2 linked regions of the Cricetulus griseus genome follow. The protein of the gene in region 2 interacts with the protein of the main gene of each other region in a biochemical or structural test. Links are inferred from orthologs where the notes say so. Each region holds a gene or a part of one and is shown on either strand. Other genes may lie near its edges.

The links.
Region 1: the proteins of Smarca5 (region 2) and Pole3 form a complex in vitro, tested with the Homo sapiens proteins (2 studies listed by BioGRID). The link is inferred for Cricetulus griseus from reciprocal best matches to the Homo sapiens genes SMARCA5 and POLE3.

The regions. Positions count from the first base shown.
Region 1 is NC_048595.1:83,344,968-83,349,271, forward strand, and holds Pole3 (DNA polymerase epsilon subunit 3), read left to right. Parts: upstream 1-1,398; 5' UTR 1,399-1,548; coding exon 1,549-1,614; intron 1,615-1,706; coding exon 1,707-1,792; intron 1,793-2,090; coding exon 2,091-2,209; intron 2,210-2,408; coding exon 2,409-2,578; 3' UTR 2,579-3,901; downstream 3,902-4,304. Other genes in the region: CUNH9orf43 (uncharacterized protein C9orf43 homolog), read right to left, coding at 594-690, 1,062-1,085. UniProt on the Homo sapiens protein: Accessory component of the DNA polymerase epsilon complex. Participates in DNA repair and in chromosomal DNA replication.
Region 2 is NC_048596.1:156,511,578-156,515,829, forward strand, and holds the start of Smarca5 (SWI/SNF-related matrix-associated actin-dependent regulator of chromatin subfamily A member 5), read right to left. Parts: upstream 2,898-4,252; 5' UTR 2,488-2,897; coding exon 2,287-2,487; intron 1-2,286. UniProt on the Homo sapiens protein: ATPase that possesses intrinsic ATP-dependent nucleosome-remodeling activity.

The sequences.
Region 1 (4,304 bases), on a different chromosome or scaffold from region 2:
GCCTATGACTTATTTAGCTTGGCAGGCATTTTGAACATCTTGAAAATGAAATGGTCCATAATGTTCAGATTTTTGGCTTTTCTCCTACATCAAAATTTCTGACAGCACCAGTTCCAGCTAAGTAGTGGCTGGAACTAAGGCTTATGACTTCTTTAAACCAGGCCTGTTTTAAGTGTAGAGTTCTTTCCACCAAGACCATTCATCATTCTACCTGCCTTGGTAGGTTGAGGTTTTTGTTTGTTTGGTTTTTTTTTTTTCTCCCAATAGAGAAATATGTCTTTGTAATTACGTCTCCATGAAAAGTAGGAAAACAAGTCTTGGAACATGTTGTAAGAAAAAAGAGAGGAAGACACACATACACACACACACACACTCACAGAGGGGGGGGCGAGAGAAAACATTAGTTTCTCATGAAGAATTTTTTCTGTACTTGATATGAAAATTATATACCTTAAAACACTATTGAAAATGTAAAATCCTGTAATGACTTTAATGGGGAATATGTACGAAGAATCACTTAATGAATTAAAAAATACAACTTTAACATGGGTTGTTTTTTTTTTAATGAGAACGAGAATATGATGCATTCTTACAATCCGATGCTTCTCGCCCTTTCAGTACCGGAGCATTCCAAACTGAGCCCCGAAGTTTCATCAGGCGTCTCTCGATATCGGCAGCATTGCAGCTGTCCTAATAAAATAGTTGGCATTAAAAAAAAAGATTTAGATAAAGTTTATCTTTAATACGATTATCTCAAGTTGTGAGGGGAATAAGATTAAAGATGGACATCGGTAAATTTACATGCAGCAAAACTGGAAGAAAATCTCCACTGAGTTCCGAGCCAAAAAGAAAAAAAAAAAAAAAAGTGAAGGATTCAAGTGTCAGTCCGAGATTCCGCGGGATACAAGCAGATTCCAAATAGTGCTCTGTTCTGCACCTCTAGGGACAATGCAGAGAGAGAGAAAATGCTCCGAGGCTTTGGCCACGCCCACCTTTGCCCAAGGGGTCACGCCCACCTAGCCCAAGGGGTCACGCCCACCTAGCCCAAGGGTCACGCCCACCTCCTCCGGCGAGGCCACGCCCATCTCGGCCGTCGGAGTGTGGTCCCACAGGCTCAGTCTATGCCTTCACCTTCCATGCTAGGCACCATGCCCCCCCGTTGCCTAGCAGCGGCGCAGGGCACGATGGGAGAATAGACGGAAACCTCAGAGAGCCAAATTTAGTTTCGAAGGAAAGCTCCAGCGATACTGACAGTGCGTGGTAAAGAAACGAGCCTGGAGAGGAATGTCGAGGATACCGTGGAGGCTAACGGAAACCTCAGTGAGCCGAAACCATTGCGACTTGGAAAACTTGGCTACGCCGGCGACTTGAGGCGGGGTCTTGTGCAGAAGGGAAGCTGTGGTGCGCAAAGCACTGTGGGACACCCGGCAACGTGGGGTGGGAAGGAAGCCTCCGAGGGTCAGATCTTAGCGACGCGGGAAGTCCAGACACCAGAACTGTCTGAAGAGGAGGCCTGAGGCGGAGAAGGCTCGGGCTCCAGCGGAGGCAATGGCGGAGAGGCCCGAGGACCTAAATCTGCCCAACGCCGTCATTACTAGGATCATCAAGGAAGCGGTGAGCTGCTCGGGCTGGCGAATGGGTCGAGGGCGGACGAGTGGGCAGAAGGTTAACTAGATCCGCGTGTGTGTTTATCTCCACTCTCGCAGCTCCCGGACGGCGTCAACATCTCCAAGGAGGCCCGGAGCGCCATCTCCCGCGCCGCCAGCGTCTTCGTTCTGTATGCCACATCCTGGTGAGCCGAGCAGGGAGGGAGGCCCTGCGAGATCCTGACCCCGAGTTCATGGCCCCATTAATTGTTCCCCGACTCAGTAGATAGAGCGACTCACAGCTCCCCTCCAGTCCTCGCAAATTCTGAAGCAGGTGAAACAAGAAGGTTGCCGTATCCCTTTGTACGGAGAAGGAATGGACTGAGTCGTGTTACAAAAACCTATGACTCTAAGATAGATGTGGGTTTTCCCACCCCGCCTCTTTGGTGTCTCTTTTCCCCACCCACTCTGACAGCTCCTGAAGGGCTTTGCTTTTTCTTCCAGTGCGAACAACTTCGCAATGAAAGGGAAGCGAAAGACTCTGAATGCCAGTGATGTGCTGTCAGCCATGGAAGAGATGGAGTTCCAGCGGTTCATTTCACCATTGAAAGAAGCCCTAGAAGGTATTCACTCGCTCTTCAGTTTCTTAAGCCACACGGAAGCTGGTCATCCTTCGTTCCCTGATCACCTGATCTTAGTAATCCAATATTGGTCATGATTCAGCTCTGTTTAGTTGGTACCATCTCAGATACATGATGTGGGCCTGGTTGTTCTTCCTGTGGCTCAGTTTGTCTAATTAAACAATAATCTCCTTCTTTACAGCTTACAGGCGGGAGCAGAAAGGCAAGAAGGAAGCTTCCGAGCAAAAGAAGAAGGACAAAGACAAAAAGACAGATTCCGAAGAGCAGGACAAGAGCAGGGAGGAAGATGATGAAGATGAAGAAAGACTAGAAGAGGAAGAGCAGAATGAAGAGGAGGAAGTAGACAACTGAGTCGAGAGAATGGGCACTCTGCGGCACCATGGGAGTGACCAACCTCCCTGAGATGTTTTTATGCGAAGCCTTTCCCTGCAAGGCAGAGCCATCTTCGGCACAGGTGCCTAAGATCAGAATAAAAACTGACCAGAATGATCAAAACCAGCTCTTGCCAGGCTGAGGGCATCAGAGTAACAGAAACCTGTTTTGCTGAATCAGTCTGGAGGTTGTGACTTTTTAGTATAAGGGATTCTGACTGACTAAATAGTTTGATGTCATTTGTTTACTTAAGTATGTGGCTAGCTAGTTTTTGATCCCATTTCCCTGACCCTCCAAAAAAGTAATAACTTCCATGTTGCTTGCCTGCTGTGTTCTGGATCACAGAAGCACTCAAGGCTCAGGGGGAGGAAATGGGGCTTTGATCATGGTCACCCTGTTTGATTGTACAGTATCTGGCAATAGGTATTAATGGTCAGAATGGTTGCGCTTTAGGAAATGACTAAAAGGCTGTGAGAGAATAAGGTAATCTCTTCACTGGATGGTAGCATTACTTGTTTGTTTTGTTTTCTAGACTTAATTAGCCTGTAGCCCTTCTTTGTTGACTATAGATGTTCAGTCTTCTGGGGTGGCTGCACTCCTACACATACACTCTTAAATTCTCAGTGTTGATTAAATTCTGTCCAAAAAGGGTGTCAATTCTTAAAAACAGGTGACTTAATCTTAGGGTAACTCAGTGCCTGCCACTGTAGGATTTAGTGCTACCTCCTGGAAGGTATAAAATCCCAGGTTTTCTCTTGCTTAGTCCATCTCCCTGACTTGCAGCTGCTGCTTTTCATTCCTTGAACTCTTGACAAGTTCCAGATGTTATTTCCTCTAGGCATAGCCTTTTCCCTCTCCATCTCCTGCCTCTGCTTCCCAGCCCCTCTTTCTCCTTTTCTTAATTCATCTTCCAGTCTAGGAACTTTGGTAACCCATGTAGTGTCGCACAGTGCCAGTTCCTCAGATTCCTTAGTCCTACTCTCCTGAAACGCCTCTGAACCTTAAGGTAAATGTAACGGTGCTCAGGAATCTAGCAGCACAGCCACCACTGCTGTGGCTTTTGAAGTGTCTGTTGGCCTTTCCTTTCTCCCCATTTAGTGCTCCAAGCACCCTTTTTTTTTTTTTTTTTTTTTTTTTTTTTTTTGGTCTTAGTTGAGCACTTGAGGTTGAAAAGTAATGTAATATAGTTGGATACTGTTAGCTAGTTGAGTGAATACAATGAAGAGTTTATTGAAAGTGATGAGACTGTTGAGAAGATTTTAATGCTTTTTACAAATAAAGAACATTCTTGTTTAAAATGGTGACTCATAACAGTGTACTTTCAGAAAGAACCTCTCTCTCTCTCTCTCTCTCTCTCTCTCTCTCTCTCTCTCACACACACACACACACACACACACACACACTCAATCTGCATCTCCTTGGCTCACCAGCAGGTGAGTGAGCATTCACAACTAACGACACTGCTCTTAACCACAGCCAACATTTTCTGAAATTCTCTTGGTTACTGTGTATATCTCACTGGCTCTCACTTCTTAAGCTCTTCCTGTGTCTAGCATTGTTCTAAGTGCTTTCAGGTGTTATTCTTAACTCCTATCAAGCAGCATTGCTGTTACCTCGGTTAGCTCCTAACCACAGCTCTATATTTACTCTCTAAAAGACATTGTTAAGTCATAAGTCAAATTTATAAATCAGATTTCACAAAGAA
Region 2 (4,252 bases):
TATATATTATATATATACATAATAGATAGATAAAATCTAAAAAAAAACGCCTTTAATCCCAGCACTCGGGAGGCAGAGGCAGGCCGGTCTCTGTGAGTTTGAGGCCAGCCTGGTCTCCAGAGCAAGTGCCAAGATAGGCTTCAAAGCTACACAGAGAAACCCTGTCTCGAAAAACAAAACAAAACAAAACAAAACAAAAAAAAAATGCATTCGTCCTGACATTTAAATGCTACAAGGAAATACAAAACCTCCAACCTAGTTTAACTTACAAAATCCCTGTCAGCACACATTAGAGGTAAAGCACACCCTACAATAATATGTGCTTTCCAACTGCAGACATTACTTTCATAATTTAGTGTCTTCTTTTTCTAACTGCAAAAACTACTTAAGGTCATCAGATACATTAGGCAAGTGTCCAAAACTCAAACTTAATTCTAATTCTACATTCAGCTAACACAGTGGAAAGCAGACTGAAGGTAATAGTCTTAAAAAGACAATAAAATTAACTACAACATTAATAGAAAAGAAAATGAGTGAATACGACTGAGAAAAACAAACTATTGATATTTTTCAATATGTAAAATCGTCAAACTTAAAAAAATGACAGGCCAAGATGTGTGGAAAAGGCTTATTATGGAAACAGATCACACTTCTGTCACATGCTCTATCCAGAAGACGCAGTTTTCTCCTCTGATGAACGAAAATACCACTTATTTCATATCGTAGGTGTTATCTTATTCATGCCTATATTTAAATTTTAATTGAAAGACAGAAACTCAAAAATTAATTTCATTTGGGTTTTAAGTTCTCTTTAGGACTTGTAAATAGAAATGACACCTATTGTGGAAATGTGTGACTCAAGTTACCGCAGAGCAGAATCTGCAAAGCTTAGGCAAGCAAGTGCATCTCTCTGGGGTGAATTGTACATTTACAAATAATTTCCTTCAATGTTTTTGGTGTCCAGACTTCAAGCAGAAATCCAACAATCCAGTTAAACAACTCTACAAGTTCAAAAGACCACTTAAAATCTTATTTAAGGGGCATAAATACATTTTTTGTTTTTGTAGATAGGGTTTCTCTTTGTAGCCCTGGCTGTACTGGAATTCACTCTGTAAACCGGGCTGGCCTCGAACTCAGAAATCCGCTCGCCTCTGCCTTCGGAGTGCTGGGATCAAAGGTGTGCCCACCACTGCCTGGCATCAAATACATTTTAAAATGAAACTTCACTTCAAATTGATGCACTACACTAACACCCCCCACACACACTAAAAGTGATTTCAAAGACTAGCAACACATTATTTCATCCAAGTGATGCAACTGCACCATCATTTCCTTATAGTGTAAATTCTGCAGCAAGGTTCATCTTTAGAGTATTATTCCAATATAAGTGCAGAAATTCTCAGACTGAACTATAGAACAGCACAAAACAAGTCCAAGGCCAAGAATAAAAACTAGAAGCAGTATCTTTGTTCCCAGGCAACTCAAAGCCTGGGAGCATATCCAAGAGACCTGTCTGGCAACTCCCCCATTTTTCCACCCTCTCCCCCATTTCCAGCATTGTCATCATCATCTGGCCCACTCGAGTCCCAGATGGTGGTTCAACGGCGAATTGTCTGAATGGCTTTAACAGGAGGTAATTCGCTGGGCTAGTAGCCCACCGCCCTCCCCCGATGCTCCCATTCATTCATTCATCCGTCCGTCCACCAACCCCTAATTAGATGGGGATCCGGGACAGGTGCTGCGGCTGTCACGCTGGCTCGCTCGCTCGCTCTCCTCCCGGTAGAGCGGGGCTCGGGAGGGGCCTCCCCTTGCTGCAGAGGCAGCTGCGCCCCGCTCATCCCCACTGCGCATTCGGCCCTCCAGCTCTCGCCATTGTTTCTGCCCACGACAGACAGATGCCGCCCCCGCCAGCACCGGGATGGGGCACTGGAGGCCCAAAGTCCCCGGCTGCGTGCGACGCTGACAAACGTCGCGCTCGCCCCGTGAATTCCACGGCGAAGGGGCCAGCTCCCTCGCCCTTCCCCAAAGTTTAGTGCAAACTAAAACCCAGATCCGGGGGAAACAGAGCCCTTCTGAGGGCGTCTAACGCTGGGGGAAACCGGGTCCCTCGACCACGGTAATCAGGAACATGTGTTTCCTAAGAGCGGTCGGCGAGCCGCCTAGGCTACTACGCGGAGGGAAACGCAGAGGTGAGGGAGGCAGACTCAGCGCCAGCGAGCGGGCAAGCGAGCATCCATCTCCCTCCCTCCTTCCCTCCCTGCGCGCACGCCCGCCCGCCGTGCTCACCTCCATGTCGGCGTCCGCGGGGCCCGCGCCCCCCGCACACGATGGAGCCGCAGGCGCCGCCACGGCCTCGGGGCCGCCTTTGTTGCCGCCGCCGCCGCTGCTGCTGCTGCTGCTCCCGCCGGCGCCCGCGGCCGCGGCCTTGGGAGGCGCGCTCTCGGGAGGCGGGGGCGGCGGAGGCTCGGCCGCCGACGACGACGACATGTTCCGGCTGCGTCACCCGCCGCGGCCACGGGCAGGCGCGGCGCGGAGGGAAGCGAAGCGGCCTGGGCCGGCCGGCCTGCCTGCTCGACTCTGGCGCCCGGGCCGACCGAGGAGCGAGCCCCGGCCGGAAGTTCTCACGCGCGGCGGCTCCGCCACCGACCCGAGCCGGCCCTGCCGCGGAGCTCGCCCCGACCTCCTCTTCCGCGGGACCCGGCTCCGCTCCACTCCGCCGGCGTTGACTTCACGGCGGGAATCACGTCGACGAGGGTGGGCGGGGCCAGCGGGGTCACGGAGGTCAGGGAGGGCGGGCTGACTCCGGGGAGACCGAGGGCTGAGGGCAGGGGAAAGGAAAGCGAAAGGTTCTGCGCGGCGTCCGGGCGCCTTCTCCTCGCCCCGCGTAGGTTCTCTTCTCCAACCACCGGGACAGCCGCCTACGCCACCCGCTCTCAACCCTCGCGAGATCGCTAGTCCTCTCCCTCCCCCCACCCTTCAGCGGCCGGATCGCGAGAGCGCATGCGCTTGCTCCTCCTGGGCCCCGCCTCCTCCAGCCCGCCCCCGAACTGCGGGGGGGGGGAGTGGGCGGGGCCTCGAGGAAGCGCGTCGGCGTAGGTTTGCGAAGGTGTGCGTGACGCGAGCTGGGCGCTTCTTAACGGCTCTTCGGCTCTCGCCGCGCCACAGAAGCCGGCCTGGGAGCGGCGCGACAGCCCGGGGACTGGCCTTCACCGTCGCGCCGCCGTCGCTCACGGCCAGACGTCACAGGTTCCCTCCAGTGACGTCGGACGTCCAAGAAAAAAATGCCCGCCCCATCAGCCATCCCACCCTTCCAGAGTTTATGGACTGCGAGCCTGTGAGATCCGGAATGGCAATAGCTGGGGACAAACGATGGCGTGTATTTTTTCCACGAGCATCAAAGAAAAATGTGCGTTTTTGTCTGCTTAAGAAATGTTTGTCAGGGGGCTGGAGAGATGGCTCAGTGGTTAAGAGCATTGGCTGCTCTTCCAGAGAACCTGAGTTCAATTAATTCCCAGCACCCACATGGCAGCTCACAACTGTCTACAACTCCAGTTTCAGGAGATGAACACCAATGCACAAAAAATGAATTTAAATAAATTATTTTTTTAAAAAAGTGTTTGTCAAGTATGTAACGCACGCCTTTAATCCCAGCACTTGGGAGGCAGAGGCAGGTGGATCTCTGAGAGTTTGAGCCCAGCCTGGTGTACAGAACGAGTCCCAGGACAGTCAGGGCTACACAGTGAGGCCTTGTCTCAAAAACTAAAAAAGAAAAAATTCTTAGCCAGGCGGTGGTGACAGAGAAGCCCTGCCTCTAAAAATTATTGGTGTTGCTTCTGCTTAGGCTGTGGTGGAGGCTCTGAGGCCTTGTGTCCTCTCCTGTGTCACCCACCTACTTCCCATTCATGACTTAGTGGCCACCAATATTGAATAAATGAAGTCCTTTCAAGAGTTAACTAAAACATGTTGAATTTCAAATCTCTTGGAATAAATAACATATGTAACACGAATGTTTGAACTAGTCGAATAATTCTCTAATAAAAACTCTCTGGAAGTAAGTGCTTCTGAAAGCTGCAGTTGTAGGTCAGTTGGTGGGATGCTTGCAGAACATACTGCTTGCAAACATCCTGGGCTTGAGCCCCAGCCCATTTTGATCCAGTGTGGTGATGCATGCCCAGAATCCCAACACTTGGGGAAGTGGAGACAGGGGGTCCACAGTTGGCTGCTAGACCAGTCTGGACTAAATGAGATCTTA